2 linked regions of the Anolis sagrei genome follow. The protein of the gene in region 1 interacts with the protein of each later gene in a pairwise test. Links are inferred from orthologs where the notes say so. Each region holds a gene or a part of one and is shown on either strand. Other genes may lie near its edges.

Region 1 (16,264 bases):
GATGGGAGAAGCGCCACGGCTCCCCACAATCCCTTTGCCGCCCGTGCCCTCTTTCCACACCAGAAATAAAGCTACAAAGCTGTGATTTGTATTCCAAATTATGTAAATGCCTGATGATTATTTATACAACATCATTATTTCACATTGGTTCAGCCTCCCGCTCACAGGGCCTTCTCAGCAGCTGCTCCCAGGCTCTGAAATGTCCTTCCTAGAAGGACCAGAGTAGCTAAGCAGAGAAAGTCCTGATTAAGAATTGGATGGGAGGCCACCAAGGAATCCAAGTGCCATCTGATCTATTTTAGGGGAACTGGGAAGACCACACCTGTCGATCACTGAAATCCATGAGGTTGCCATAAGCCAACTTGAAGGCACAGACACACAGTACCACCCATAACAACAACAACAGACCTCACAACCTCTGAGGATGCCTGGCATAGATGCAGGCGAAATGTCAGGAGAGAATGCTTCTGAAACATGGCCAGGCACCCTGAAAATGCTTCTGGAACATGGCCAGGCAGCCTGAAAAATTCACAACAATCCAGTAGTTGTTGTGTACTCCTACGTGGCACTATTGGGGTTGGACTGGCTGGCCCTTGGGTGTCTTTTGTAACTATGGTTCTGTCTCCATTCCTCTTGTTTACAAAACCTCACAACCTCTAAGGATGCCTGCCATAGATGCAGGAGAAACGTCAGGAGAGAATGCTTTTGGAACATGGCCAGACACCTGGAAAACTCACAACAATCCTGTTGTTGTTGTGTACTCCTACGTGGAATAATTGGGGTTGGACTGGCTGGCCCTTGGGTGTCTTTTGTAATTATGGTTGTATCTCCGTTCCTCTTGTTTACAAAACCTCACAACCTCTAAGGATGCCTGCCATAGATGCAGGAGAAACGTCAGGAGAGAATGCTTTTGGAACATGGCCAGACACCTGGAAAACTCACAACAATCCTGTTGTTGTTGTGTACTCCTACGTGGAATAATTGGGGTTGGACTGGCTGGCCCTTGGGTGTCTTTTGTAATTATGGTTGTATCTCCGTTCCTCTTGTTTACAAAACCTCACAACCTCTAAGGATGCCTGCCATAGATGCAGGAGAAACATCAGGAGAGAATGCTTTTGGAACATGGCCAAACAGCCTGGAAAATTCACGACATTCCTATTGTTGTTGTGTACTCCTATGTGGCATAATTGGGGTTGGACTGGCTGTCCCTTGGGTGTATTTTGTAACTATGGTTCTATATCCGTTCCTCTTGTTTACAAGACTTCACAACTTCTGAGGATGCCTTCTATGGATGCAGGAGAAACATCAGGAGAGAATGCTTCTGGAACATGGCCAGGCAGCGCGAACAACCTACGACATTTTTGCTGGGAGAAGGAAAGTTTCTGCACGCCAACCTTATCCCAGAAGAAGAGATGGGCCTGGCTGAACTCAAACTCCTCGATGTTGAGCTTCTTCATGAATGGAAGGCGCATCACGTTCAGGCAGGAGAAGATCCAGCAGCGGCCTGAAGAAAGAGAACAATCAATCAAAACAGAAGCAGAGGGGAAATGCTCCAAGCCAAGATGTCTCCAAAGTGTTGTGCAATGAGGACTAGCGGCAACACACTCCCTAATTGTGCAATTTCCCTTTCCAGGAAGTCCAGTCAGCTCCCTCCCTGTTGTTGTTCTTCCACCACCAGGCAGGACCTTTTTTAATCTAGGGAAGGCTTTGGGTTTTGATAGATTGCGGCAGAGTGCACGCTGTGGGTGAGGTCGTCCGGAGTTTGTAAGCCGCCTCAAGTCGCCCTCGGGCTTGAGAAAGGCGGGATATAAATATCCCCCTGGGCAACATCCTTGCAGATGGCCAATTCTCTCACACCAGAAGTGACATCCGGGCAACGTCCCCTGGGCAACATCCTCGCAGACAGCCAATTCTCTCACACCAGAACCGACTTCCGGGCAACGTCCTTCCAGACGGCCAATTCTCTCACACAAGAAGTGACTTCTGGGCAACGTCCTTCCAGACAGCCAATTCTCGCACACCAGAAGCGACTTCCGGGCAACGTCCTTCCAGACAGCTAGTTCTCTCACACCGGAAGCGACTTCCGGGCAACATCCCCTGGGCAACGTCCTTGCAGACGGCCTATTCTCCCATACTGGAAGCGACTTCCGGGCAACATCCCCTGGGCAACGTCCTTGTAGACGGCCAATTCTCTCACACCAGAGCGACTTCTGGGCAACGTCCTTCCAGATTGCCAAATCTCTCACACCAGAAGCAACTTCCGGGTAACATCCCCAGGGCAACGTCCTTGCAGACGGCCAATTCTCTCACACCAGAAGCGACTTCTGGGCAACATCCCCTGGGCAATGTCCTTGCAGACGGCCAATTTTCTCACACCGGAAGCAACTTCCAGGTAACGCCCCCTGGGCAACGTCCTTCCAGACGGCCAATTCTCTCACACCAGAAGCGACTTCCGGGCAACATCCCCTGGGCAACGTCCTTGCAGACGGCCAATTTTCTCACACCGGAAGCAACTTCCGGGCAACATCCCCTGGGCAACGTCCTTGCAGACGGCCAATTCTCACACAGCAGAAGCGACTTCCGGGCAACATCCCCTGGGCAACGTCCTTGCAGACGGCCAATTCTCTCACACCAGAAGCGACTTCCGGGCAACATCCCCTGGGCAACGTCCTTGAAGACGGCCAATTCTCTCCCATCGGAAGCGACTTTGGGGAAACGTCCCCTGGGAAACGTCCTTGCAGATGGCCAGTTTCTCAAGTCGCTTCTGACACAAAATGAAAAAAGATATAAATTTAATAAATCTTCCAGAAGAGCTGGAATTAGCTTTCATCTATTGTTATTGTGACTTGTGTTGTTACTACTACTTCTAGTAGTAATAGTATACTGCTTTTCCTCCCAGGACTGGAACCCAAAGCCTTAATAACTATAGTCACAACCTCTGAGGATGCCTGCCACAGATGCAGGTGAAACGTTTGGAGAGAATGCTTCTGTAACATGGCCAGATAACCCAAAAAACTTACAACAACCTAATAACTACACAGTTTGAAAAGCTATGAAGAGCCAGCCAGGTATAAGGAGGTGCGTCCTCCTCCTTACCTGAGTTTTTCTGGTTGGTGACAGGTTTGCCCTCGGCAGGTATGGCGTGTTGGAACACCTGGAGGGTGTCTTGCACCACGCTCCGCTCCAGGCACAGCTCCAGCGGATCCCCACAGGTGGCCACATTTTGGGCCAAGTGGTACCGCGGCTCCGCTTTCAGGCTGAGGGTGAAAGCTTCGGCTTTCTTCAGGCTTAACCCTGTCCGGAAACAAAACACGGCAGACTGTAAGTTGAATTGGCAGCACTCGAAATAGCCGATTTGCCATCCACCTTCCAAATAAAACCAGGTTAGTAACAAACAGGTGTGAGGTTTCCTTGGAAGGAAGGAAGGAAGGTAGGGCCAGGAAATAGGCTCAAATGGGAAACTCCCTTGCAAGGTTGTTGTGAGAATTAAGTAGAGGAAGGAAAGGAGAGAATAAAGTAAAAGGAGAGAATAAGGTAGAAGAAGGGAAGGAGAGAAGGACAGGAAGGGAAGGAGAGAATAAAGTAGGAGAAAAGAAAATAAAGTAGAAGAAGGAATGGAGGGAATAAGAATAAAGTAGAAGAGAAGAAGAGAATAAAGTAGAAGGAGAAAAGAGAATAAAGAGGAAGGGAACAAGAGAATAAAGTGGGAGAGAATAAGACTAAAGTAAAAGAAGGGAAGGAAAGAAAAGAAGAGAATTAAGGAGAGGAAGGGGACGAGAGAATAAAGTAGGAGAGAAGAAGAGAATAAAGTAGAAGAGAATAAAGTAGAGAGAAGAGAATAGATTCAGTGGAGGATGAGATGAGAGAATAAAGTAAGAGAAAGAGAATGGAAGTAGAGAAGAAGGGAATAAAGTAAAGAAGAAGAGAATAAAGGAGAAGGGAAGGAGATAATAAGGCAGCAGGAGAGGAGAGAATAAAGAAGAGGAAGGGAACAAGAGAATAAAGTGGAAGGAGACAACAAGAGAATAAAGTAGGAGATAATAAGACTAAAGTAGAAGAAGGGAAGGGGAGAAAAGAAGAGAAGAAAGGAGAAGCGAAGGATAGAATAAAGTAGATGAAGGTAGTAAGAGAAGGGAAGGGGAGAAGAGAATAAAGGAGAAGGGAAGGAGAGAATAAGATATTAAGGTAGAAGGAGAGAAGAGAATGAAGTGGAAGACGAGAACGAGAGAATAAAGTAGGAGAGAATAAGACTGAAGTAGAAGATGGCAAGGAGAGAAAAGAAGAGAATAAAGGAGATGAATAGGATAAGAGAAGGGAAGGAGAGAAGAACAGAATAAAGTAGGAGAGAAGAGAATGAAGTGGAGGACGAGAACGAGAGAATGAAGTAGGAGAGAATAAGACTGAAGTAGAAGATGGGAAGGAGAGAAAAGAAGAAAATAAAGGAGATGAATAGGATAAGAGAAGGGAAGGAGAGAAGAAGAGAATAAAGGAGAGAATCATAGAATCAAAGAGTTGGAAGAGACCTCCTGGGCCATCCAGTCCAACCCCATTCTGCCAAGAAGCAGGAATATTGCATTCAAATCACCCCTGACAGATGGCCATCCAGCCTCTGCTTAAAAGCTTCCAAAGAAGGAGCCTCCACCACACTCCGGGGCAGAGAGTTCCACTGCTGAACGGCTCTCACAGTCAGGAAGAGAATGAAGTGGAGGATGAGAACGAGAGAATGAAGTAGGAGAGAATAAGACTAAAGAAGAAGAAGGGAAGGAGAGAAAAGAAGAGAAGAGAAGAAAGGAGAGGAACGAGAGAATAAAGTAGGAGAGAATAAGACTGAAGTAGAAGGAGGCAAGGAGAGAAAAGAAGAGAATAAAGGAGATGAATAGGATAAGAGAAGGGAAGGAGAGAAGAAGAGAATAAAGTAGGAGAGAAGAGAATGAAGTGGAGGACGAGAACGAGAGAATAAAGTAGGAGAGAATAAGACTGAAGTAGAAGGAGGCAAGGAGAGAAAAGAAGAGAAGAAAGGAGATGAATAGGATAAGAGAAGGGAAGGAGAGAAGAAGAGAATAAAGTAGGAGAGAAGAGAATGAAGTGGAGGACGAGGATGAGAGAATGAAGTAGGAGAGAATAAGACTAAAGAAGAAGGAGGGAAGGAGAGAAAAGAAGAGAAGAAAGGAGAGGAACGAGAGAATAAAGTAGAAGGGGAGAAAAGAAGAGAAGAAAGGAGATGAATAGGATAAGAGAAGGGAAGGAGAGAAGAAGAGAATAAAGTAGGAGAGAAGAGAATGAAGTGGAGGACGAGAACGAGAGAATAAAGTAGGAGAGAATAAGACTAAAGAAGAAGAAGGGAAGGAGAGAAAAGAAGAGAAGAAAGGAGAGGAACGAAAGAATAAAGTAGGAGGAGAGAAGAAGAGAATAAAGCAGAGAGAACAGATTCAGAATAGGCTAGTTATCTTAATTTTGAACCTTGCAGGGTCTTCTCAAGGGATAAGGTCACCCTGTTTTGGGGAAGAATGTGTTGCTCTTGCTTCCTGTGCCTGTCTCTTCCCAATGCAGAAGACACAAAGGCACTCTGCTCGTGCTCAGGAGCCCTTCAGGACCAAGGAGAGGGGAAGAGGGGGAAAGAAGGTGAGGGCCCCCCCCTCCCCTCCCTGGAGGCCCTCTGCACATGCTCAGGGGCCCCTCTCCTCCTCGGCCTACACGGCATCCCTCCCTCCTGCGGGTGGGGAAGGGGAAGGGGAAGGGGCGGCCCTCTGCACATGCCCAGAGTCCCTCCCTCCCTCCCTCCCTCCCTCCCTCCCTGCCTGCCTGCCTGCCTGCCTGGGGTCCCGCTGCCCCCTGTCCCCCGCTGCACCTGGGAAGCTGCTCATGGTGGAGGCGGAGAAGAGCCAAAGAAGAGCCGGGCAGCGGCACCGGAAGCCGCTTTTATATGGCCTCGGAAGCAGGAAGCCCGCCTGGCCCGCGACGGGGAGCCGGGAGGGACAAAAGGGGGACGCGCTCGCTCGCTCTCTCTCTCTCTCTCTCGGAGCAGAGAGTCTCTTAAAGGGGACGCCACGAATTTGATTCTCTACCATCCCTATCATCTATCTGTATCTATACATACCATATATATATATATATATACACACCCATACATACACATACATATACACCATATATATATATACACACACACATACACTCCATATATATATATACACATACACATACAATCCATATTTTTATATATATATATATATATACACACACATGCATACATACACACCATGTATATACACACACACCATATATATATATATACACACACACACACACACATACATACACACCATATATCACATACATACACACCATATATATATATAAATATATATATATATGCACACACACATATATACATATACACACACCATATATACACACACATACATACACACCACATATATATATGCACATACACATACAATCCATATTTTATATATATATATATATACACACACACATGCATACATACACACCATGTATATACACACACACCATATATATATATATACACACACACACACACATACATACATACACACTATATATCACATACATACACACCATATATATATATATATATATGCACACACACATATATACACACCATATATATACACACACATATATATACATATACACATACGCACCATATATATATATACACACACACACACCATATATACACACACACAACTATATACATACACACACATACATACACACACTATATATATACACACACACATATACATGCACACATACACACTATATATATATACACACACATACACATACATACATACACACATGAGCACCATATATATACACACACACATATATACATATACGCACACCATATATACACACACATACATACACACCATATATATATACACACACACATATATATATACACATACACACACACACACCATATATACACACACACACAAACATATACATACACACACACATATACATGCACACATACACACTATATATATATATACACACACACACACCATCTATATATATAATATATAATATTATATATATATATATATATATATATATATATATATATATATATAAATACTCTGTGCATAATGAGTACCTTAAAAACAAAAGAACCAATGAACGAAATCACACCAAATTTGGCAACAAAACGTCTCACAACACGAGGAGTGACCATCACTCAAAAAATTATGATTTTGCCATTTGTGAGTTGTAGTTGCTGGGATTTATAGTTCACCTACAATCAAAGAGCATTCTGAACACCACCAACGATAGAACTGGTACCACTCCAGCGGGAAGGGAACGACGCTCCATGCAGTCATGCTGGCCACATGACCTTGGAGGTGTCTAGGGACAACACTGGTTCTTCGGAGATGAGCACCAGAGTTGACACAACTGGACTTAATGTCAAGGGGAAACCTTTGCCTTGGTATGCATCTGACAGTGATAGATAGAAGAACTGCTTTCTTGCTGTAACTTCCACCGAATTTAATTACGGCCTTCCGTTGCAATGCCAGGACTTGCCCTCCACTCTCCTTTGCATTCAAGTAAACAAGATTAAATGTTCCTTATGCTAATGAATGCTAATTTCAGGCGAGACTCAAGACTGTATGAGCCACACCTTCCACCTGATAGAAACCCTCATTAGGGCAGGAGCCGTCCTCCGTTTCAATTAAAAACCTCGTTCCCAGATGGGCCAAACAGTCCCCGCATCGGAGTCGCCGATCTCCTGCTCCATATTCAGGCGGTTAATATGGATTTTTAATTACCTGGAAATTATAGGGAGATGCAACGAAGACGCTTTACCGGTTCCGTTTGTAAATAGTATGCTGATTCTGCACCTGGCTGCTCTCTTGCTCTAACTCTGTGTATAATTGTTTAGCAATAATCATTTCCATTTGGAAAAACATGAGATTTGCTCCATTAAAAAGAAATACGACCCCTTGGTGACGCAGCAGGTTAAACTGCTGAGCTGCTGAACTTGCTGACCAAAAAGTCGCAGGTTCAAGTCCGGGGAGCGGGGTGAGCTCCCAATGTTAGGCCCAGCTTCTGCCAACCTAGCAGTCTGAAAACATGCAAATGTGAATAGATCAATAGGTACCGCTTCGGTGGGAAGGTAACGGCACTCTCTTGCTCCATCTACACTGCTATATAAAATCCAGATTATCTGCTTTCAATTGGATTATTGGACAGACAGCAAGCTATTTACTCAGCAGACTGAAAGCCAAAATTAAGGTCACAACAACATCAGTTATAGAACTTCAATATGCTGATGATAACATAGTCAGTGCACATTCAGAAGAAGACCTGCAAGCCACTCAACACGCTTGCAGAAGCATACGAGAAGGATGGCCTCTCATTGAACCGCGAGAAAAACAAAGTGCCCTTCCAGAAAAAAGAACCAGCCAATCCCTCTGCAAGGCCAGAAACTGAAACACAACACCGCCTGAGCTCTGCGAGTGCAGCATTCTTCCGAATGAAGCAGAGAGTGTTCACAACAACATCATTTATAGAACTCCAATATGCTGATGATAATGTATTCGGTGCACATTCAGTAGAAGACCTACAAGCCACTCTCAACACGTTTGCAGAAGCATACAAGAAGGATGGCCTCTCATTGAACAGTGAGAAACCCAAAGTGCGCTTCCAGCAAAAGGCACCAGCCAATCCCTCTGCAAGGCCAGAAACCGAAACACAACACTGCCTGAGCTCTGCGAGTGCAGCATTCTTCCGAATGAAGCAGAGAGTGTTTGAGGACCGGGACATCCGTCGGGAGACCAAGGGCTTGTTTATAAAGCTATTGTCCTCCCAATCTTGTTCTACCCCTGTGAAACGTGGACTGTCTACAGATGTCACACTCAACTCTTAAAACAATTCCATCAAAGCCATGCGCTGCTTCTCCTCCATGCCATGGTCATCGACAGATAAGGACGAGAGGCATTCAGGGAAAACGAAACCAATTTCTCAGTGCTTGGAATGGCTTAATGTGAGGATATAAAGTTCCAACAATGGGAAATGTAGTCAGATGAAGCATCGTTTCAGAATCCTGCTAAGTTCTTGCTCTTGTCTCATAGTAGCCTTGCTTGGAAGATTAATGTTTAAGGATTTCTTGCTGTATGGTTTGACCGTTTCTCTCTTAACAGATTAGAGAGATGGGCCAAAACTAACAAAAGGAAGTTCAACGGGGACAAATGCAAGATACTCCACTTTGGCAGAAAAAAAACAAAATGCAAAGGTACAGAATGGGGGACGATGAGGCCTGGCTCGAGAGCAGGATGTGTGAAAAAGATCTTGGGGTCCTCGTGGACAACAAGTTAAACATGATCCAACAATGTGATGTGGCAGCAAAAAAAGCCAATGGGATTTTGTCCTGCATCAATAGGAGCATAGTGTCTAGATCTAGGGAATTGTGTCCAATTCTGGGCAGCACAATTCAAGAGAGATATTGACAACCTGGAATGTGTCCAGAGGAGGGCGACTAAAATTATCAAGGGTCTGGAGAACAAGCCCTACGAGGAGCGGCTTAAGGAGCTGGGCATGTTTAGCCTGAAGAAGAGAAGTCTGAGAGGAGATATGGTAGCCATGTATAAACTATGTGAGAGGAAGCCACAGGGAGGAGGAGGGAGCAAGCTTGTTTTCTGTTTCCCTGGAGACTAGGACGTGGAACAATGGCTTCAAACTACAAGAGAGGAGATTCCATCTGAACATTAGGAAGAACTTCCTGACTCTGAGAGCCGTTCAGCAGTGGAACTCTCTGCCCCGGAGTGTGGTGGAGGCTCCTTCTTTGGAAGCTTTTAAGCAGAGGCTGGATGGCCATCTGTCAGGGGTGATTTGAATGCAGTATTCCTGCTTCTTGGCAGAATGGGGTTGGACTGGATGGCCCATGAGGTCTCTTCCAACTCTTTGATTCTATGATTCTATGATTTTATCTGAACATGAGGAAGAACTTCCTGACTGTGAGAGCCGTTCAGCAGTGGAACTCTCTGCCTCGGAGTGTGGTGGAGGCTCCTTCTTGGGAAGCTTTGAAACAGAGGCTGGATGGCCATCTGTCAGGGGTGATTTGAATGCAATATTCCTGCTTCTTGGCAGAATGGGGTTGGACTGGATGGCCCATGAGGTCTTTCCAACTCTTTGATTCTATGATTGTGATTACATACTCATGTCTTGGATCAATGTTTCCCTGTTTCTTTGGATGTTACTAGACTGGACTTTGTTTTTGAACTTTGCTGAACCATACCTTGGACTAATTTGTTCCTGCTTATCTTCTTACCTAATTGGATTTACCTATTCCAGTGCTTTTTTACTTTGCTGCTTTTACTTATCTTCAATAAAAAAGGATAGTTTTCCTACTCAACGTGTGCCGCTTTGAAATCAGGGGGCTATTCTTGTTCTATGTATACACTACACTTGGAGGACCAACATACTCAGACGAGAAATCGCCTAAGTAAGTAAAGTACGTCAGCGAGCTCTGGATTGTCCGCTTTGATAATCTGGATGGCATTATAGATCCAGCCTCTCTTGACTGAAACCCAAAGGTGTGTAATTAGTGGCCATCAAGTCGGCCTGGGAACAAAGAGGGCAGCCACCCGATCGCTTCTGGAAAGTGTGCCACGGCAGGGCAAATAAGGATAGTAATAATAATAATATCTCCACCTGCCATAAAACCTTGCCACACGCCCAGTGAAAGATGTAATTTGACTTTGACAGTGAAATACTGCCTGCGTGTGCCTCCCGCTTGGCTTTCTGTTAAAAGCGGCCAAGTTTCTGAAATATGTTTTGATGGAACAATTACGGAAGGAAGAGAGAAGCTTGAGGAGTGTCGCCTTCCCATTGAGTTGCCAACAAGGGCAGAAAACAAAAGAAAAGGACCACATATTATTATGATTCTTACTACTACTACTACTACTACTACTGTGTTTATTATATTTAGATCCTGCTTTTCTATCTTAAGCAAGACCCAAAACGCTCACCACCTTATTTTGATGCACAACAAGTTTAGTACACCAGAAACAATTGCTACCAGAGATTTCCCATGATTTGGAGCTTGAGAACAGCTCGGCACCTGGCCCAGATGCAGAAGATCACAATGCTAGCTTTTGAATTGGATCGCACGTCGGACACTTCCCAAGTGTCTAGGACTGTGTGATGCATCGGCGAATAATGTGTGCAGATCCGACAATGGCGGCCTTTTGCAGCTGACTGGTGGTGATTTTGTTTTTAAGTCCAGGCCAAGGTCTTGAGGCACTGCACCCAGTGTGCCGATCACCACTGGGACCAGCTTGACTGGCTTGACCACCTGTGTGCCAATCACCACTGGGACCACCTTGACTGGCTTGACCACCTGACCGACTACACTGGCCTTTTGCAGCTGACTGGTGGTGATTTTGCTTTTAAGTCCAGGCCAAGGTCTTGAGGCACTGCACGCAGTGTGCCAATCACCACTGGGACCTCCTTGACCGGCTTGACCACCTGACCGACTACGCTGGCCTTTTGCAGCTGACTGGTGGTGATTTTGTTTTTAAATCCAGGCCAAGGTCTTGAGGCACTGCACCCAGTCTGCCGATCTCCACTGGGACCACCTTGACCGGCTTGACCACCTAACCAACTACGCTGGCCTTTTGCAGCTGACTGGTGGTGATTTTGCTTTTAAGTCCAGGCCAAGGTCTTGAGGCACTGCACCCAGTGTGCCGATCACCACTGGGACCACCTTGACTGGCTTGACCACCTGTGTGCCAATCACCACTGGGACCACCTTGACTGGCTTGACTACCTGACCGACTACGCTGGCCTTTTGCAGCTGACTGGTGGTGATTTTGTTTTTAAATCCAGGCCAAGGTCTTGAGGCACTGCACCCAGTGTGCCGATCACCACTGGGACCTCCTTGACTGGCTTGACCACCTGACTGGTGGTGATTTTGCTTTTAAGTCCAGGCCAAGGTCTTGAGGCACTGCACCCAGTGTGCCGATCATCACTGGGACCTCCTTGACTGGCTTGAACACCTGACCGACTACGCTGGCCTTTTGCAGCTGACTGGTGGTGATTTTGTTTTTAAATCCAGGCCAAGGTCTTGAGGCACTGCACCCAGTCTGCCGATCTCCACTGGGACCTCCTTGACTGGCTTGACCACCTGACTGGTGGTGATTTTGCTTTTAAGTCCAGGTCAAGGTCTTGAGGCACTGCACCCAGTGTGCCGATCACCACTGGGACCACCTTGACCACCTGAAAAACATCATTATTATTGCTGTTGCTACTGTTGTTGTTGTAGTAGTAGTTTCCTGCTTTTCTTTCCTGATCAAGATCAGTAGAGGCTCAGAACACTAAAAGCAATGCATATAAATATTTCCCATTATCCCCACCCGCAATTCCTTGTTGCACCAAGCTTCCTTTAATAATGATGATGATGACAAGTGAGCCAAAAATGCTGTAGCGTTAATGTAATTTGACCTCACGTTAATTGCCATAGGTATTCCAATGCGCACGGAAGGCATTAAAGGATCCCGGTGCCACAGTTTCCTGTCCAGTTAATTTCCTGCTAATGTACCTGCCTTTCTCGCTGTCGCAACACGGACTGAGTCAGCCTTATCTTTGAGTGACATTTGCCGCCGGGCTCCTTTTCCTAGAAGTCACACATCCATTTACACGCAAAGACAGGAATGTTATTCTTTGGGGTTCCAATCGAGATCACTTTAGATTACGCCGACTGTGATCTGCTTGTCGTTCTTTGGAATCTGCTGAGTTAGGACTCCTTTTGTTGTTGTGTACCTTTGAGTCGTTGTATGATTTAGCGTCTTGACTTGGCCTTACCTTAGTCTGAGGTTGAGAGAGTGTGACTTGCCCAAGTGGCTGAGCAGGGACTCGAATGCAGGTCTCTCAATGTCTTTGTCCAACGTTCAAGCCATGCTGCCTTTCTTTTTGAATAATCCTATACCTTATTATTCCTTTTGCACCAATAAAGCTATATAACACAATTTTTGCCTGTTCTTAAGGTGAGAGGCACACGTTTGCATTTTAGGTGGATTAGGAATCAGCTGTAATAGTCAGTAAGAGCACCTCAAGCTTTGGAGAGCTTCTGTTCAACAATTTCAAAGCTCCCTTCTTGAGCAGTGATGGCACGATCGTCAGCATAGATGAAACTCTCCATCCCTTCTGGCATTGGCTGATCAATGTTTCACCTGTAACAGGCAGTAAGAGCACCTAAAGCTTGGAGAGCGTCTCTTCAACCATTTCAAAGCTCACTGTATGAGTGGTGATGGCACGATCGTCAGCATAGATTAAATTTAGATGAATTAGAAATCAGCTGGTTTTCCCTGTAATAGGCAATAAGTGCACCCAAAGCTTTGGAGAGCTCTTCTTCAACCATTTCAAAGCTCCCTGCTTGAGCAGTGATGGCGTGATCGTCAGCATAGATCGTTTCCTCAGAGCTTGAGATGTTTGTCTGTTCTGAAGGTGAAAAGCACACTTCTGCATTTTAGATGGATGAGGAATCAGCTGGTTTTCCCAGTAATAGGCAGGAAGAGCACCTCAAGCTTTGGAGAGCTTCTGATTCAACCATTTCAAAGCTCCTTGCTTGGGCGGTGATGGCATGATCGTCAGCATAGATGAAACTTAGATGGATTAGAAACCAGCTGGTTTTCCCTGGAATAGGCAGTAAGAGCACCTCAAGCTTTGGAGAGCTTCTGTTCAGCCATTTCAAAGCTCCCTTCTTGGGCGGTGATGGCACGATCGTCGGCATAGATGAAACTTAGATGGATTAGAAACCAGCTGGTTTTCCCTGGAATAGGCAGTAAGAGCACCTCAAGCTTTGGAGAGCTTCTGTTCAGCCATTTCAAAGCTCCCTTCTTGGGCGGTGATGGCACGATCGTCGGCATAGATGAAACTTAGATGGATTAGAAACCAGCTGGTTTTCCCTGGAATAGGCAGTAAGAGCACCTAAAGCTTTGGAGAGCTTCTGTTCAACCATTTCAAAGCTCCCTTCTTGAGCGTTGATGGCATGATCGTCAGCGTAGATGAAAATTGGCAGTGGCCGTTCATTTGTGTAGATGTTAAACACTGATGAAGTGAGTAGTCCTTTGTGGTATTATAAATTCTTCTCAGGAGAAGCAACTTGCAGTATCCAGAGCCTAAAAGCAGTAAAGAGTCTACTGCATTCTTGCTGAGAGCTTTGGAGAGCTTCTGTTCAGCCATTTCAAAGCTCCTTGCTTGGGCGGTGATGGCATGATCGTCAGCATAGATGAAACTTAGATGGATTAGGAAACAGCTGGTTTTCCCTGTAATAGGCAGTAAGAGTACCTCAAGCTTTGGAGAGCTTCTGTTCAACCATTTCAAAGCCCCCTTCTTGAGCGGTGATGGCACAATCGTCAGCATAGATGAAACTTAGATGGATTAAAAACCAGCTGGTTTTCCCAGTAATAGTCAGTAAGAGCACCTCAAGCTTTGGAGAGCTTCTGTTCAGCCATTTCAAACCTCCCTTCTTGGGCGGTGATGGCACGATCGTCAGCATAGATGAAACTTAGATGGATTAGGAATCAGCTGGTTTTCCCAGTAATAAGCAGGAAGAGCACCTCAAGCTTTGGAGAGCTTCTGTTCAGCCATTTCAAAGCCTTCTTGAGCAGTGATGGCACAATTGTCAGCATAGATGAAACTTAGATGGATTAGGAATCAGCTGGTTTCCCCTGTGATAGGCAGTAAGAGCACCTCAAGCTTCGGAGAGCTTCTGTTCAGCCATTTCAAAGCTCCCTTCTTGAGCAGTGATGGCACGATCGTCAGCATAGATGAAACTTAGATGGATTAGGAATCAGCTGGTTTTCCCTGTGATAGGTAGTAAGAGCACCTCAAGCTTCGGAGAGCTTCTGTTCAGCTATTTCAAAGCTCCCTTCTTGAGCGGTGATGGCATGATCGTCAGCGTAGATGAAAATTGACAGTGGCCGTTCATTTGTGTAGATGTTAAACATTGATGGAGTGAGTAGTCCTTCGTGGTATTATAAATTATTCTCAGGAGAAGCAACTTGCAGTATCCAGGGCCTAAAAGCATTAAAGAGTCTACTGCATTCTTGCTGAGAGCTTTGGAGAGCTTCTGTTCAGCCATTTCAAAGCTCCCTGCTTGGGTGGTGATAGCATGATCGTCAGCATAGATGAAACTTTCTGACCCTTCTGGCAGTGGCTGGTCATTTGTGTAGATGTGGAACATGGATGGGGCAAGCACGCTCCCCTGAGGTAGGCCGTTCTTCTGTTTCCGCCATCTGCTTCTCTGGCCCTGGAACTCAACAAAAAAGCTCCTGTTTGGTAGCCGTTTTCCTATGAAATAGGTGAGGGGGTCATCCTTGGTGATATTATAAGTGGTTCTCGACCTTCCTAATGCTGTGACCCCTTAATACAGTTCCCCATGTTGTGGTGACCCCCAACCATACAATTATTTTCGTTGCTACTTCATAACTGTCATTTTGCTCCTGTTATGAATCATAATGTAAATATCCGATCTGCAGGATGTATTTTCATTCACTGGACTGATATGCCCAAATTTGAATACTAGTGGGGTTGAGGGGCGGGGTTGGTTTTGCCATTTGGGAGTTGTAGTTGCTGGGATTTATAGTTCACCTACAATCAAAGAGCATTCTGAACTCCACCAACGATTGAATTGGGCCAAACTTGGCACACAGAATTCCCACGACCAACAGAAAATACTGGAGGGGTTTGGTGGGCATTGATCTTGAGTTTTGGAGTTGTAGTTCGCCTACATCCAGAGAGCACTGTGGACTCAAACAAGGATGGATCTGGACTAAACTTGGCATGAATACTCAATATGCCCAAATGTGAACACTGGTGGAGTTTGGGGGAAATAGTCCTTGACATTTTGGGAGTTGTAGTTGCTGGGATTTATAGTTCACCTACAATCAAAGAGCATTCCGAACCCCACCAATGATAGAATTGGGCCAAACTTCCCACACAGAACCCCCATGACCAACAGGAAATACTGTGCTTTCTGATGGTCCTTAGTGACCCCTCTGACACTCCCTCGTGACCCCTCCGGGGGTCCCGACCCCCAGGTTGAGAACCACTGATGTATGGGGTAAATAAGGGCCGTAATAGGCAGTGCTTTTACTGCCCTCCAGTGAACGCACCAAGAATTGCATCCTAAAGGCCGGAGAGGTTCAGGCTCCCCTTAAAAGTCCTTTGCTGCCACCTTCTGGCCACAGGGATATTGCATGACTTA
Region 2 (16,033 bases), on another chromosome or scaffold:
TAAAATCACTTGTCTGATGCCTCTAAGATCTATGTTGTGCCCTACCTTTGCAAATATGTCCTAATGGCACAATTGGCATAGATTTTTTTCTCTCCAGACTTCACTTCGATATCTATGGACATGTAAATACAAATCTCATTGTGCATTGAACTAGTCATTTTAGGATCCAATGATGTAAATTAAAACTCAGCAGAACCGTGATCGCATTCACAGATGAATTTCAACAAGATTCTTTTTCCAAATTAGAATATGTATGTGAAGGTCAAGCACTGTCTGAAGAACCTTTGCTAATGAATCCATGCTACTTAAAAACAAAACAAAACAAACACCACTGATTTAAGGCAGACTTGATGCCCTCCGTGAATGAAGCATCAGTAGCTCTTCAAGTGGTACTATTCCACGCATGTCTGCTCAAAGGTTGATCCTACTGAGTTTAATAGGACTGATTCCCACTGGATTTATGGCCTTAGAGATTTTTCCCAACCAGACTAAAATGCAGTTTGACCTACATTTTTATTAAGAGGGTACATGATTTTATTAATCCTTGGCACATCTACACTGTCCACTTACTGAGGAATGTGCCCAAATCAGTTATGTGATGGCAAACACCACAAGGATCCAGAGTAATTTTAGGCAAGGCAGCCTTAATGCAACCTTGCCCCACATGAGCCAAAGTTGGAGAATACTCCAAACTCAGAGCATCCCTTGACTTTGAGCCTGTGTAAACAATTGGGCTGTTTCTGAGACAGAACCGGCCAAAACTATTTTCTTTGCCATCCCACGTTTCCTGGGCTTCAGCAGCCCAGAGACATAGGGTGGCACTCATTGTCCCTTCCTATCCTCAATGCCATGGCAGTCCCCAACCATAACACGGGTCCTACTGATCAGTGATGTCGGACAGGGTGATGGGACAATTGGGGAAGGGAAGGGAAAGGAGAGGTGAGTCCTCCATCTACCCCTTTCCTTGTCCCCCCTCCCCCATCTCCCTGGCCACCATCACTATCAGATAGCCAGCCAGAAAGGACCCATGTTGCACTTGGAGACTACCATGACAAGGAGAACGGAGGGGATGGTAAGGGTATCCAGTACTCCCTCCTGTCTCCAAAGTGATCAGGGAGGTACCTGTCTCATCCAACCTAAGACTGAGCTGGTATGTGTCAGATCAGGATAAAGGGTGAGTGTAGCTCAGCCCCTATCTCACTTCTGCAGTTATCTAACTTGAAGATAGATCTTCCATTGTTCCAGATAAACACATACACCAATGAAAAGATGTATAGATGTTATTATTTCATAGCAGTCACACAAATCAACTACCCCTAAGTAAAGGTAAAGGTTTTCCCCTGACATTAAGTCCAGTTGTGTCCATCTCTGGGAGGTTGGTGCTCATCTCCATTTCTAAGCCAAAGAGCCAGCATTGTCCATAGACACCTCCAAGGTCATGTGGCCAGCATGACTGTATGGAGTGCAGTTACCTTCCCGCCAAAGCAGTACATATTGATCTACTCACATTTGCAATTTTTTAACTGCTAAGTCAGCAGAAGTTGGGGCTAACAGCAGGAGCTCACCCAGCTCCCCGGATTCGAACCTGCGACCTTTCGGTCAGCAAGTTCAGCAGCTCAGAGCTTTAACCCACTGCACCACCGGGGGCTCCCCAACTACCCCTAGGAGATGCTGTTCTCTGATGAGATTAAGATTAGATTAAGATGTGAGAAAACTATTTATGGTTGCCAATTTGAGCCAAAGTACCACTCTGAGCAAGACATCAGGAAGAACAAAGTACCATTATTCTTGCCAGTTACCTTGGTATCAGTGTGGTCTGCTGAGAACATCAGACTTTCTAAGGTAACAACAAGTTTTAGATTCACATTGTAATTCCATAACATAGTAACACACTGTGGTTTGTTACAAGAGATACAGATTTTAAGATACCATACCATGGCTTGTTGTGACATGTTGTGGACAGAACCTGTGGATTACAGAGGTATTTAATATATAACTAATGTTCTTGTTTTTTCAACATTCGGGAGTTTAACCATTAAAACCTATCAAATTTCATAAGGTATCATGTCACAGATGTGCAATAAAATCAGGTTAGCACTACTAACTTTATGTTATTTATAGTCAACTCATATTTTATGATGGTTTTTAATGCATTTTTGAATATTTTAAATATTGTGGCAATCAGCATTGCATTACTGTCGTAATGATACCTGGGAAGACAGATGAAATCTTCCCAGAGGAGTTAAAGATCAAACACATTAAGGATTACTGGCATAACACTGTCACCAATATTTTTTCTCAAAAGTAATGAGGCACGCAAGTACCATCAACAAGCATGAAGCATTCTCTCTTTTAAAATGTTGTTTCCAATTACTGTTTTCCACTTGTCTTCTTCTAAAAGGCTTAAATGATTTAATGTCATTTAATTATTTAATAAAGTAACCAACATATAAAAATAGCAGAGTGTAAAGCAGGAAAGATTCCTTGCGGTTTTCAGTATCAGTAAGTATGGAAGGAGAGAGCGCTGGAACAAAGTTGTGAAACAATAATGTGTGTAAAGAAGAGAAACATCCTTGGAGTGTGGTCTCAAAAGAGTCTAGAGGTGAATTGGTTTTAGGATTAGTCAGAGTAAAAAAAAAAAAGACATGAAAGCTGCTGAGTTCTGCTTTTATAAATTATCATTGTTAATAATTAATTCATATTAAATATTAACAGATTTATACATTTTTGCTCTGATTTTATTCCTTGCCAGCCTCCTTGGATTTTTTTAGGTTGCATGGAAGCTTATAAATATTTTCATAAATAGGGTGATGGACAGATTGGTAGATAGTCAAACAAAATGCATGCTATGATTTGAAAAATATAGTTTGTTGCTGATCAAATCTCTTTCAGAAAACTTCTAGAAATGAAGGAGTTCTACATAAGTGCAGGATTACACTTGTGGTTGTCAATGGTTCCTTCTATACTGCCATATAATTCAGATTATCAAAGCAGATAATCCACATGATCTGCTTTGAACTGAATTATATCAATCTGTACTGCCATATAACCCAGTTCAAAGCTGATAATTTGGTTTTTATAGGGCCAGTGTTGTCAGTTTCACAGCAAAAGGGAATTCTTCAAACTCCTTAAGACTCAGGCTCCATCTACACTCCCATATAAGGTAGAGCTCTTCCAGATAGGCCCTATATCCCAGAATCTGATCCCAGGTTTTCTGTTTATCCCAGATTATCTGGCAGTACAGATTCATATAATCCAGTTCACAGCAGAAAACCTGGGATCAGACCTTGGGCTACAGGACCTATACGGAAGGGCCCATAGTTTCACACTCATTATATGGCAATTTACAAACCACTGAACAACAGATTGGTTCAAAAATTGGAAAGGAGTACAGCAGGGCTATATACTCTCACCCGACCGATTCAACTTGTATGCAGAACACATCATGTGAAGTGTCAGGCTTAATGAATCCAAGGCTGGAGTTAAATTGCTGGAAGAAACATTAGCAACCTTGGATATGCAGATGATACCATTTTGATGGCTGAAAGTAAGGAGGAGCTAAGGAGTCATGGTGAAAGAAGAAAGTGCAAAAACTGGGTTGCAGTTAAACATTTAAAAAAAAAAACAAGATTATGGCAACCAGACTGATTGCTAACTGGCAAAAAGAGGGAGAAAACATGGAGGCAGTGACAGACTTTGGATTTCTAGGCGTAAAGATTACTGCAGATGCAGACTGCAGCCAGGAAATCAGAAGACGCTTACTTCTTGGGAGGAGAGCAATGACGAATCTCGATAAAATAGTGAAGAGTAGAGACATCACACTGGCAACGAAGGTCCACATAGTTAAAGCAATGATATTCCACATAGTCACCTACGGATGTGAGAGCTGGACCATAAGGAAGGCTGAGCAAAGTAAGATAGACACTTGAAATGTGGTGTTGGAGGAAAATTCTGAGAATGCCTTGGACCACAAGAAGATCAAAGCAGTCCATACTCCAGGAAATAAGCCCAACTATTCACTGGAGGGAAGGATATTAGAGGCAAAGATGAAGTACTTTGATAATATAATGAGAAGACAGGAAAGCTTAGAGAAGAGAATGATGCTGGGGAAAATGGAAGGGAAAAGGAAGAGGGGCCGACCAAGGGCAAGATGGGTGGATGTTGTCCTTGACATGACTGCCTTGACCTTGAAGGAGGTGGGGGTGGTGATGATTGACATGGAGCTTTGGCATGGACTGGTCCATGAGATCACGAAGAGTCAAAAATGACTGAACGAATAAACAACAATATGGCAATATAGATGAGGCCTCGGTTTCCAAAATCTTCAGGGTTGCAAGTCTCTCTTCTTTGAGGTTCTTGCTTGTTCCACTTCCTTTCTTCAATAAAGGGATTAGCAGTTTCTAGCGGGCATGATGTCTCCCACTTTTATAAATGTAATGCTTGCCAATTTATACATGCACACATACACACATATACATATATCTTTGGATAGCATAGGGAAGGGTTAACACACTTGATAGGTTCTTAACTTGTAAATCAGAACAGGTACATTTTATAAGTGTAATTCCAGCCATACATGTGTATGTGTGCATGTATGCCTTGGATAGCATAGAGAAGGATTAACACCCATATGATGTTTATTTTGCTCTCTGTGCCCCTGTTTAGAAGATTTCCCCTCACTTGTTATGGAAACAAGGCTTGTTGTAGAAACAAGGATTGGCGAGAAAGCTTCAGTGGCGACACCTTTTCGACTTCTTCAGTGGCGACACCCATGATAACTCTTCCAGGAGCTAATTTCCCTTCCAAGGTGTAGATTTCCTCTCACTTCCTTACCTCATCCCTGTTCTTAACTATGTGTCATTTGTAACTCGGATGTTTGCAATTTGAAGACTGCCGGTCTATAGTGTAACTGTGCTGCCTCCTTTATAGCAATGACAATGACAACTTTGATTTCTGATCCTGCCATTTGTTCCCATTCTTTCTTCGATTTCTGCATTGTACACTGCGCAATAGTGCGCAGACTATTTATTTATTTTATTTATTTATTATTTGAACTTATATGCCGCCACTCCCCTGGGGCTCGGAGCGGCTTACAAGAACAGGCTAAAATTGAACACAATTTAAAAACAATTTAAAAACAGCAATCAAAGATCAAAGGCCCATCAAAACAGATATGTCTTACATGCCCTGCGGAAAGCTGATAAGTCCCGCAAGGCACGGACTTCAGGTGGCAGAGTATTCCAGAGTGATGGTGCCACTGCTGTAAAGGCTCTGTGTCTGGTTGCTGTTAGATGCAAGGTCTTGACACTGGGAATTTCCAACAAATCTTGGTCTTCAGAACAAAGGGATCTCTGGGTTTGGTAGTGGGTGAGGCGGTCCCTCAGGTACATCAGCCCCAGACCATGCAAGGCCTTAAAGGTGAGTACCATCACTTTGAAAGTGATCCGGTGCTCAATTGGTAACCAGTGCAGCTGTAGTAATATTGGTGTTATGTGGAATCTCATCGGAATTCCCGCAAGAACCCGAGCAGCTGTATTTTGTACCAACTTGAGCTTCCGGATCACTGACAGAGGAAGGCCAATGTAGAGGCCGTTACAGTAGTCCAGTCTTGAGATGACCATAGCCTAGGTCATCCCTGGACAGATAGGGGACCTGGGCCTCCATCGTCAGCAGAGGGTCCAAAAGGACTCCCAGACTTTTTACCAATGATGACGGGCGTAGCACCTCGCCATCCAGGGTAGGAAGCTGGATATCCCCACTGCCTGGTTGACCCAGCCATAGGATCTCCGTCTTTGCTGGATTTACCCTCAACCTACTGGCACGCAGCCATCCAGTAACGGCCTCAAGGCACTGATGGAAACAATTGGGTACAGAGTCCGGTCGGCCTTCCATCTTCAGCACAAGCTGAGTGTCATCAGCATACTGGTAACACTCAAGCCCAAAACCTCGAACCAGCTGAGCAAGTGGTCGCATATAGATGTTAAACAACAGAGGGGAGAGAATGGCTTGTTGTTCATTCATTCAGTCGTCTCCGACTCTTCGTGACCTCATGGACCAGCCCACGCCAGAGCTCCCTGTCGGCCATCATCACCTCCAGCTCCTTCAAGGTCAAGCCAGTCACTTCAAGGATACCATCCATCTTCCTTTTTCCTTCCATTTCCCCCAACATAATTGTCTTCTCCAAGCTTTCCTGTCTTCTCATGATGTGGCCAAAATACTTAATCTTTACCTCTAATATTCTTCCCTCCAGTGAGCAATATGGACTGGTTGGATCTTCTGGTGTTCCAAGGCACTCTCAGAACTCTCCTCCAACACCACAGTTCAAAAGCATCTATCTTCCTTTGCTCAGCCTTCCTTATGGTCCAGCTCTCACATCCGTAGTGACTACGGGGAATACCACTGCTTTTACTATGCGGATCTTCATTGCCAGTGTGATGTCTCTACTCCTCACTATTTTATCGAGATTGGTCATTGCTCTTCTCCCAAGAAGTAAGTGTCTTCTGATTTCCTGGCTGCAGTAATCTTTTCACCTTGAAATACAAAGTCTGTCACTGCCTCCATGTTTTCTCGTTCTATTTGCCATTTATCAATCAGTCCAGTTGCCATAATCTTGGGGGGTTTTTTATGTTTAATTGCAACCCAGCTTTCGCGCTTTCTTCTTTCACCTTGATTAGAAGGCTCCTCAGCTCCTCCTCACTTTTGGCCATCAAAGTGGTATCATCTGCATATCTAAGGTTGTTAATGTTTCTTCCAGTGATTTTTACCCCAGCCTTGCATTCGTCAAGCCCCGTACATTGCATGATGTGTTCTGAATACAAGTTGAATAGGTTAGGTGGAGAGAATACAACCCTGCTGTACGCCCTTCCCAATCTTGAACCAGTCTGTTGTTCCATGGTCTGTTCCTACTGTTGCTACTTGGTCCTTGTACAGATTCCTCAGGAGAGAGACAAGGTGGCTTGGTATGCCCATACCACCAAGATCTTGCCACAATTGCTACGAAGCCAAATATATTGTGCCTGGTGTCACTTTCCGGCCTGGGCAAACTTGGGCCCTCCAGAGGTTTTGGACTTCAACTCCCACCATTCCTAACAGCCTCAGGCCCCTTCCTTCACTAAGCGGCTGAGGGGGAAAAGGAAGGGGCCTGAGGCTGTTAGGAATGGTGGGAGTTGAAGTCCAAAACCTCTGGAGGGCCCAAGTTTGCCCAGGCCTGAGTGACTGAGGCACCCACATAACTAAAGTCTGTTACTATTATTCTCAAGTAATTTTATACATTTGAAACAGATGACAGCCCTGCAGATACACAAACATGAGCTCAACTCCTGTTTTGTTTGGAAGGGCACAGTTCTCCACAAGAAAAAGCCACTGGGGAAACAGGAAAGGCCTAAAGCCTGTTTTTTCCTGAAAGTAGGCCCTTTGGGCGAACTACAATTCCCAGGATGCCTTTCTCCTCCGCCAAGCTGAGGGGTGGAGCGTCCAAGAGAACCCGGAAGTGTCGGCGGATTGCTGGAGGCGAGGTGATTTCCTGGGCCAGGAATTAGGTAACTGGTTTTTTCAGCGCCTCTTCTCTCTCTTCCAAGGTGCAGACGGCTTCCTCTTGATCCCAGAGGCCACCTTCTCTCAATTTCTGCATTTAGACGCATTGGAGGCTTTGTTGAGCTGTCTTGCTTGGTCTTTGGTCCCGACAGTTTCCTATTCTGTCACTCAACCCGAAGTCAGCAGGAACAGCAAGGATATTGTATTGTCGAAAGCTTTCATGACCGGAATCACTGGGTTGTTGTAGGTTTTTCAAACTATATGGCCATGTTCTAGGAGCATTCTCTCCTGACGTTTCGCCTGCATCTATGGCAAGCATAGAGGTCTGAGGATGCTTGCTATAGATGCAGGCGAAACGTCAGGAGAGAATGCTTCTAGAACATGGCCATATAGCCCGAAACAACAGACCTCACAATCTCTGAGGATGCTTGCCATAGATGCAGCCCAAAACAACAGACCTCACAATCCCAACAGATCTCACAACCTCTGAGGATGCTTGCCATAGATGCAGGCGAAACGTCAGGAGAGAATGCTTCTAGAACATGGCCATATAGCCTGAAACAACAGACCTCACAACCTCTGAGGATGCTTGCCATAGATTCAAGCGAAAAGTCAGGAGAGAATGCTTCTAGAACATGGCCATATAGCCTGAAACAACAGACCTTGCAACCTCTGAGGATGCTTGTCATAGATGCAGGCGAAACATCAGGAGAGAATGCTTCTAGGACATGGCCATATAGCCTGAAAGAACAGACCTCACAACCTCTGAGGATGCTTGTCATAGATGCAGGCGAAACATCAGAAGAGAATGCTTCTAGGACATGGCCATATAGCCCGAAACAACAGACCTCACAACCTCTGAGGATGCTTGCCATAGATGCAGGTGAAACGTCAGGAGAGAATGCTTCTAGAACATGGCCATATAGCCCAAAACAACAGACCTCACAACCCCAACAGATCTCACAACCTCTGAGGATGCTTGCATAGATGCAGGCAAAACGTCAGGAGAGAATGCTTCTAGAACATGGCCATATCGCCCGAAAAACCTACAACAACCCAGCAAGGATATTACCAAAGAGTGGGTGGTATGTGAGAAAAGAAGACAGAGATGTAGTAATGCTTTCAAATAAACAGAGTAATACAGGTTGAGGTTCCCTTTTTTGAAATGCTTGGAACCAAAAGTGTTTTAGAGTTTGGAATATTTACATATACTGAGGCCCCTTCCACACAGCTGAGTAAAATTCCACAATATCTGCTTTGAACTGGAATGTATGGCAGTGTGGACTCAGATAACCCAGTTCAAAGCAAATATTGTGGGATTTTCTGCCTTAGTATCCTGGGTTATTTGGCTGTGTGGAAGGACCCTAAGAAATCTCCTGAGAATTGCAGTTTGAGTACCACTTTACCTGCCATGGCTGGAGCCCCCGGTGGCGAGGTGGTTAAACCCCTTTGCCGGCAGGTTACAGATTCGACAGGTTGCAGATTCGACAGGTTGCAGATTCGAATCGGGGAAGAGTGTGGATAAGGTCCCTCTATCAGCTCCAGCTCCCCATTGCACGGACATGAGAGAAGCCTCCCACAAGGATGGTAAAACATCAAAACATCTGGGCGTCCCCTGGGCAACGTCCTTGTAGACAGCCAATTCTCTCACACCAGAAGCGACTTGCAGTTTCTCAAGTCACTCCTGACATGACAAAAAAACTGCCATGGATCAAAACTATGGAATCCCTAGAGTTGTAGTTTTACAAGGTCTTTCTCCTTCTCTGCTCATGATGACTAGTACCTCACCAAACTACAGTCCCCATGATTTCATTTCAGGTGGTGTCAAACAGCATTAATTCTACAGTGTAGATGCAGCCTTAGAGTTGGGAGCCCAATGCCAAACATGACATTTCAGTTATGTTTCATATACACATGGCTTCGGGGGGAGGGGGGGGAATTTATACACACTGTTTTTAATAAGGTTGTGCATGAAACAAATTTTAGGTAACAATGCTTTGGGAAAGTAAAAGTATCACTCAGCTATCCAGGATTTTGAAGTCTTTCAGATTTTAATTTCTTTCATGCACAACCTTATTGTTGTATAAAACTGCATTCAGATTATATGTATAAGATGTATATGAAATATTTACCATATTTATACCCCGCCCTACTTGCCCCATAGAGGACTTAAGGCGGCTTACATACATAGGCAGCAATTCGATGCCATATGGACATACATAGTAAAATAAACATATACATTAAAACAATCATTAAAAACATAACAAAACTTAAAACCTTCAATACAAATAAACTTCATGGTTTGACTTGGGTCCCATCTCCAAGATATCCCATTTTGTACAAATATGCAAATACAAGATTTCCGCAATCCAACAAACAAAAAATCCAGCATAATTCTGGCCCCAAGTACATTGGATGGAGGATCTTAAGCCTTTAGTACATTCTGATATAAACGTGTTTGAGTCTTAAGAGCTATTTGCGCTGTGTGACAGCAATAATACAGGATGAGCTATAAATCATGTAGCCCTTCTGATGTTGCTAGATTGTAATTCCCATCAGTCCTCATCAGTGTTAATGAATGCTGATGATGTATTGTCAAAGGCTTTCATGGCCAGAATCACTAGTTTGTTGAGTTTTCCAGACTATATGGCCATGTTCCAGAAGCATTCTCTCCTGACGTTTCGCCTGTATCTAAGGCAGGCATCCTCAGAGGTTGTGAGGTCAGGAGAAAATAGTACTGGAACCTGGACATACAGCTTGGAAAACTCACAACAGACTAATAATAATAATAATAAAAAACTTTATTTATATCCCAACCTATCTCCCTGAAGATGAATTATGGGAGATGAAGTCCAACAGCATCTGGAGGGCTGCATGATTCCCATCCTGCCTGAACCAGATAATAGACAGTGCAATCCTATACATCTTTACTCAGAAACAAGCACCTGTGAATTTAGTGCTATTCACTGCTAATTAATGAAGGTTTTATGTTCATATTCTGGGCAGTTCTAAGTACAAGCAGATAGCAGACTTCATGCCTCAAAGTGAAAACACTGTGTGTGGAAATATTTGCCTAGGTATTGTATTGGAAAATGGCCTATTAGATCACTCTTATAACAAAGAGTGGATTTGCTGTAGAATTAATGCAATTTGGCAGCACTTTTAAGAGCCATGGCTCAGTGCTATAGAATCCTGGGACCTGTATTTTTGTAAGCCACCAACACATTTTGGCAGAGAAGATGAAAGACCTTTAAACTACAGCTCCCATTATTCCATATTATAGAACCATGTAAGGAGCCCCTGGTGGCACAATGGATTAAACCACTGAGCTGCTGAACTTGCTGACTGAAAGGTCGGTGGTTGAGATCTGGAGAGCAAGGTGAACTCCCACTGTTAGCCCCAGATTTTGCTAACCTAGCAGTTCGAAAACATTCAAACGTGAGTAAATCAATAGGTACCACTCTGGCGGGAAGGTATTGGCGCCCCATGCTGTCATGCCAGCCATATGACCTTGGAGGTGTCTATGGATAACATCGAATCTTCGGCTAAGAAATGGAGATGATCACAGACCCCCAGAGTCAGACATGACTAGACAAGTCAGGGGAAAACCTTTACCTTTTTTACTGAACCATGACAACTAAAGTGATGCCAAGCTGCCTTAATTCTACAAATGCACTCACTACAAGATCCTAGTCCAGATTAACATGGCTGTGTCTTTGAATTCTTTTTGTCATCAAGTGGAATTTCAACGTATGGTGACCCTAGAAATGAGAGGTCACCAAAAGAGCAAACCATGAACAACCTTGCAAAACATCCTGCAAGCCTTGCTCAGGGCCTGTTACTGAATCATCAGACCATTTGTAGTGTGGAGGGCTGCATCAAGTAAGCATTATACGTCCATACCTACGTATATCCTCTCTCTCTCTCTCTCTCTCTCTCTCTCTTTGACAATGTACAAGGGGGTATCCTCAGTGGTATCACACTTGTGACCCTCCAGGTGTTTTAGACTTCAGCTCCCATAATTCCTGCCAATTGGGCAAGCTGGCTAGTGCGTCTGGCTCAAACATTTGAAGGGCAATATGTTTGACATCTCTGCCAGTCCTTAGTGTCCCATTCAAAACCTAAGCCATAGTTTAAAACTGCATTGTATGGCCAATGTAGACTCATATAATGGAGTTCAGTACAGTTACACTGCATTACATGGTCTACATTGACCATGTAATGCAATTTTAAACTGCAATATATATGGCAATATAGATGGGGCCCTACTCTCTCTCCAGTTGTCATGTTCTGGCAGGGACTGCTATAGCTTCTTAACAGTAAGGAGGAGAGACAACAGGGAAGCAAATCAAAATTAGATAACTTGCTCCTCATGGCCCAGGAAGGAAAGCAAATGGAAGTACACTCACAGAGTGTACCTTCCTGTTTTTCTCCTTGAAGCTACACTGGTTGAATTCTCTCTTTGGCTTCTCTCTGCACTAGTAAGCAGTGACGCTGACAGCAGAGGGGCGTGACAGCTATTGGGTGAAAGGCTTTGAACATTACGCAAAGGGTTGCAGAATAGAACTTTGCACTCTGTCCTGAAAGTGACATACAAGGCAGATAAACCACCCTAAAGCATGCGTATGTTGTTAAAGAGATTCCAGCGATTGTATCCTATGTGTGATAGCAGTCGTTTTCCTGGAGTCAATGTGGGTCAAGCTAGACATTGTCAAAAATCCTTGTGTGTATTCTGGGTTTTCCGACATCAATGTGATTTCCTCAGAGACACGTGCCTGAGTTTTGCAAAGTAAGCTTGTAATAATCTTTCATAAAATATAAAAATGCTCCAATGCAATTTGTTTTATTCTGTTGTGTTTAATGTGTTTTATCTGGATTGCTATATTTTATGATGCTCCTATTTGTGTTTTGTTTTATTTATTTATTGTTTTGTTTTATGTTTTGTGGACATTTTGTCCCATATGTAAGCTGCCTCGAGTCCCTTCGGGGAGATGATGGTGGGGTGTAATAATAAAGTTGCTATTATTATTATTATTATTATTATTATTATTATTATTATTATTATGTGAGAAAAAAGCATTTGCTATAAGCAAAAACCTTCACTACTCAAGGTATAACAACTTGCAAGTATGTTCAAAGTACTTCTATTTTGACCTAGTCCTTTCTAGAAAGATTGATCTCTGATAACTTAAAACATCTTTTATGCTAGTTTTTTGAGCCACCTCTACCTGTTATATACTTACTTACTTACTTACTTACTTAGGCAATCCGTTGTTGGCCGAGTAGGATAGTCTTCCAGGATGAGAATTCTTGTGAGTCTGTAGGTGGCTGTGGAGCCCTATTCTTGATCTGCATCTTCTTCCGCAGTGAGGGCATTGGTTTCCAGGTGGAAGGCGGTCCTGGTCGGGGTTGGCTTGACGCGCCTTCCTCTTGGCACATTTTTCTCTTTCACCCTCCATTCATGCCTCTTCAAATTCTCCAGCACTGCTGGTCACAGCTGACCTCCAGCTGGAGCGCTCAAGGGCCAGGGCTTCCCAGTTCTCAGTGTCTATGCCAGAGTTTTTAAGGTTGGCTTTGAGCCCATCTTTAAATTTAGATTTAAAGATGACCTGTTATATACTAATAACATTTTAAGCTCTGTGTTTTTATCCACACAGATAATGGCAGATATCCAAAGGAATCCAAAACAACGATTGATTTCTGAGCTTCACAATTTAGCTGCTACGGGAGACAAGGCCAGGCTTGTGGCCCTGCTCAGTCATTCTCCATCCCTTATCAATGAAACTGCGAAGAATGGTTGGACAGCATTGATGTTTGCTGCTAGAAATGGGCACTTTGACATTGTACAGGTTCTTCTAGAGAAAGGGTAATTAAAATAGAAAATTAATTGTTCCTTGTATGCCATATTAAAAGTTACAACAGAATGATTGTATCGGGGTACCTGTCTTTCCCTATATTCACAATTCTAATAGACTTATGCAGACGCTGAACTTCAACGCTAAAATAAAAAAATGAATGTAAACATAAAGTCATGTCTTTTTATATCTCAGACTCTTTTACTCTAGGAATAAACAATATATAATTATCATTTTGCAAACCAGGGAAACAAAGGGTGACATCCATTAACCTATGAACTATCCGTTTTAATGTGTGACACACTTGTAATATGGGTTCTTTTCTAAAGATAATTAGCAGATAGCAAATATTCATGCTAGACTATACTGTTAATTCAATTACTGACTATTCAGTTTGTGATGGGGTAGCACTTAGGATCAAGTACTAGTTACACTTACATATACGTAAATAGATAAGTATTAGGATTGAGATATAGTGGTGTTTATTGGCCAGTTCTGTACATATTTAGAAGTAAATCATGCTGAACATTGGATTGCAGCCCTAAGCATACAATTGAACAGTTTAATTGTATAGTAAAGGAAGTGGGGACCCCTGCTGTCTTCAAAGTTGCATCATTTTTCTCCAGTAGCTCAGTTTGCAACTCCAAAGCAGCTTTGCCAGACAAGCATGAGTTCTACAAACCGTTTGTTCTCCATCTGTTTCAGTTTGATTTTGCCCATTGTGTTACACTTAATGACTCTTTGTGGATTTGGCTCAGTGAAAGAAAGCATTAATGTTGGAACAAGAAACACATGGTAATTAGAACAAAAAATCTTGATTTTCTTCATGGCTTGCAAGCAATATTTGCAGTAGTTCAGCAACCCCTAGCTGGGAGCCATGTGTGCTTTATTCAGCTGACATTCTCATTCCGGATAGGCTGTGAGGTGGCTTAGAGAAGTTGTTTTTTGAACTATAAGCCCCAAAATCCCCAGATCACATGACAAGCGATAATGTTGGTGGGACACTTAAACTTGAAAACATTGTTAATTTTATAATTTGCATTTTAAAAGGTGTGACAAGTCCATATCCAATGCATCAAACCAGACTGCACTGGACATCGCTCAATTTTGGGGTTATAAGAACATAGCTAACTTGTTAGCTAATATGAAGCCTGGACTGGAACCATTCTTCCTGAACAGTGAAGCCAGAGAGCATGAAAACTATTTTTGCAGGACCTTTCTGGATAGGAAAAGTGAGAAGAGGACAGATGCTAAATGGCTAAATGCAAAACAGAAGCTGCCAACTACAGTATATGTTCTTTTTTCAAATTTAAGTCCATTGGTTGTATCAGAGCAAGATGAAGAAGATAATTTCCAATCTCCAAAAGCTAAACTTTTTCGGCTTCACTATAAAGATGTCAAAGAATTCCTGGAGCACACTGAAACCATCACACTGATTTTTCTTGGAGTAGAACTTGAACTGAGAGGTAGATCTCTTCCAACTGTGAATGGGCAAAATTCTAATGAAGGTGAAGATGATGGGCTAGTTGCTTGGTTTTCTCTCAGTTTAGATGCTACTTCTGCTGACAAGTTTGTACAGAAACATCAGAGTTGTTATTTCCTTCAGCCACCAATGCCTGCATTGCTGCAATTGTCTGAAAATGAAGCTGGTGAGTACTTGAACATTTCTTTTTACTGACATGTTGTCACCTAAGATGATTACAACAGGGATTCAATTAAATTAAACGAGACAAAGAGATAAAAACATATTTTTGATTCAGAAATCTGATTTAGCAAGATTTAATATTCCTTTGTATTTCCTTTATGGTTTTGTACAGGTTACCTGGGCAACTTCATATCAAAGCCCTAAGTTATGGTCTGGGCACTACTTCTCATTATTATTATTTTATATTTTAGAGTTGCTTCACCGGGAGTGGGAGGAGAATATAATGATTTATCACGGAACTGCACATTTCAGATATTTTTCTCCTCCTCCTCCTCCTCCTCCTCCTCCTCCTCCTCCTCCTCCTCCTCCTTCTCCTCCTCCTTCTCCTTCTTCTAGAAATGGCATTCTAGAAATGGCTGACCTGAGTCACCTTTGTGGGGAGAATGGTGGGGTAGAAATTAATGAAATAAACAAATAAATAAATTTTCCCAACTCTTTTTCTCTGGGGAGTTCTGGCAGCACCTAAATTGTTGAACTTTCTCCCACAAGACAAAATATAAGCTTTTCCCCTGTTCTGCTTTAGATTGATACCAAAGTCTGTCATGTTCTATCACTCTTGTAGTGGATAAATGTTTTGCTGTTCATATACCTTTCAGATTTTGTCCCATTGTTCTTTGAGTTTTATGTGCAGTTTTAATGTTTAATGTACAGTGTAATATTATTCATTGCCCTGAGTGCCTGCTAGCGGAAAGGTACAATTTTATAAACAGTATCTTTTTCAAAATCATAAATCAGTTACATTAAGTTTTATGGAAAACTGGAAAGTTGATGTTGTAATAATTCTTTGGTGTCAGAAAACCCTCACAGATTTATGGTTTGTTGTGGTCATTTTTAAGGAGTCGTTGCCCAAGCTAGATCTGTTTTAGCATGGGACAGCCGATATCAGTTTTGTCCAACGTGTGGCAGTGCAACCAAATTAGAAGATGGAGGCTACAAGAAA

What was found.
Region 2: the proteins of BLMH (region 1) and NUDT12 interact in binary tests that used the Homo sapiens proteins (3 or more experiments, as listed by UniProt). The two-hybrid records come from large-scale screens. The link is inferred for Anolis sagrei from reciprocal best matches to the Homo sapiens genes BLMH and NUDT12.

What each region holds. Positions count from the first base shown.
Region 1 is NC_090031.1:33,769,895-33,786,158, forward strand, and holds the start of BLMH (bleomycin hydrolase), read right to left. Parts: upstream 5,987-16,264; 5' UTR 5,865-5,986; coding exon 5,849-5,864; intron 3,295-5,848; coding exon 3,097-3,294; intron 1,505-3,096; coding exon 1,395-1,504; intron 1-1,394. UniProt on the Homo sapiens protein: The normal physiological role of BLM hydrolase is unknown, but it catalyzes the inactivation of the antitumor drug BLM (a glycopeptide) by hydrolyzing the carboxamide bond of its B-aminoalaninamide moiety thus protecting normal and malignant cells from BLM toxicity.
Region 2 is NC_090022.1:249,816,826-249,832,858, forward strand, and holds the start of NUDT12 (NAD-capped RNA hydrolase NUDT12), read left to right. Parts: upstream 1-7,461; 5' UTR 7,462-7,538; intron 7,539-11,271; exon of another isoform or gene 11,272-11,415; intron 11,416-11,949; exon of another isoform or gene 11,950-12,322; intron 12,323-13,190; 5' UTR 13,191-13,193; coding exon 13,194-13,399; intron 13,400-14,438; coding exon 14,439-15,037; intron 15,038-15,929; coding exon 15,930-16,033. UniProt on the Homo sapiens protein: mRNA decapping enzyme that specifically removes the nicotinamide adenine dinucleotide (NAD) cap from a subset of mRNAs by hydrolyzing the diphosphate linkage to produce nicotinamide mononucleotide (NMN) and 5' monophosphate mRNA.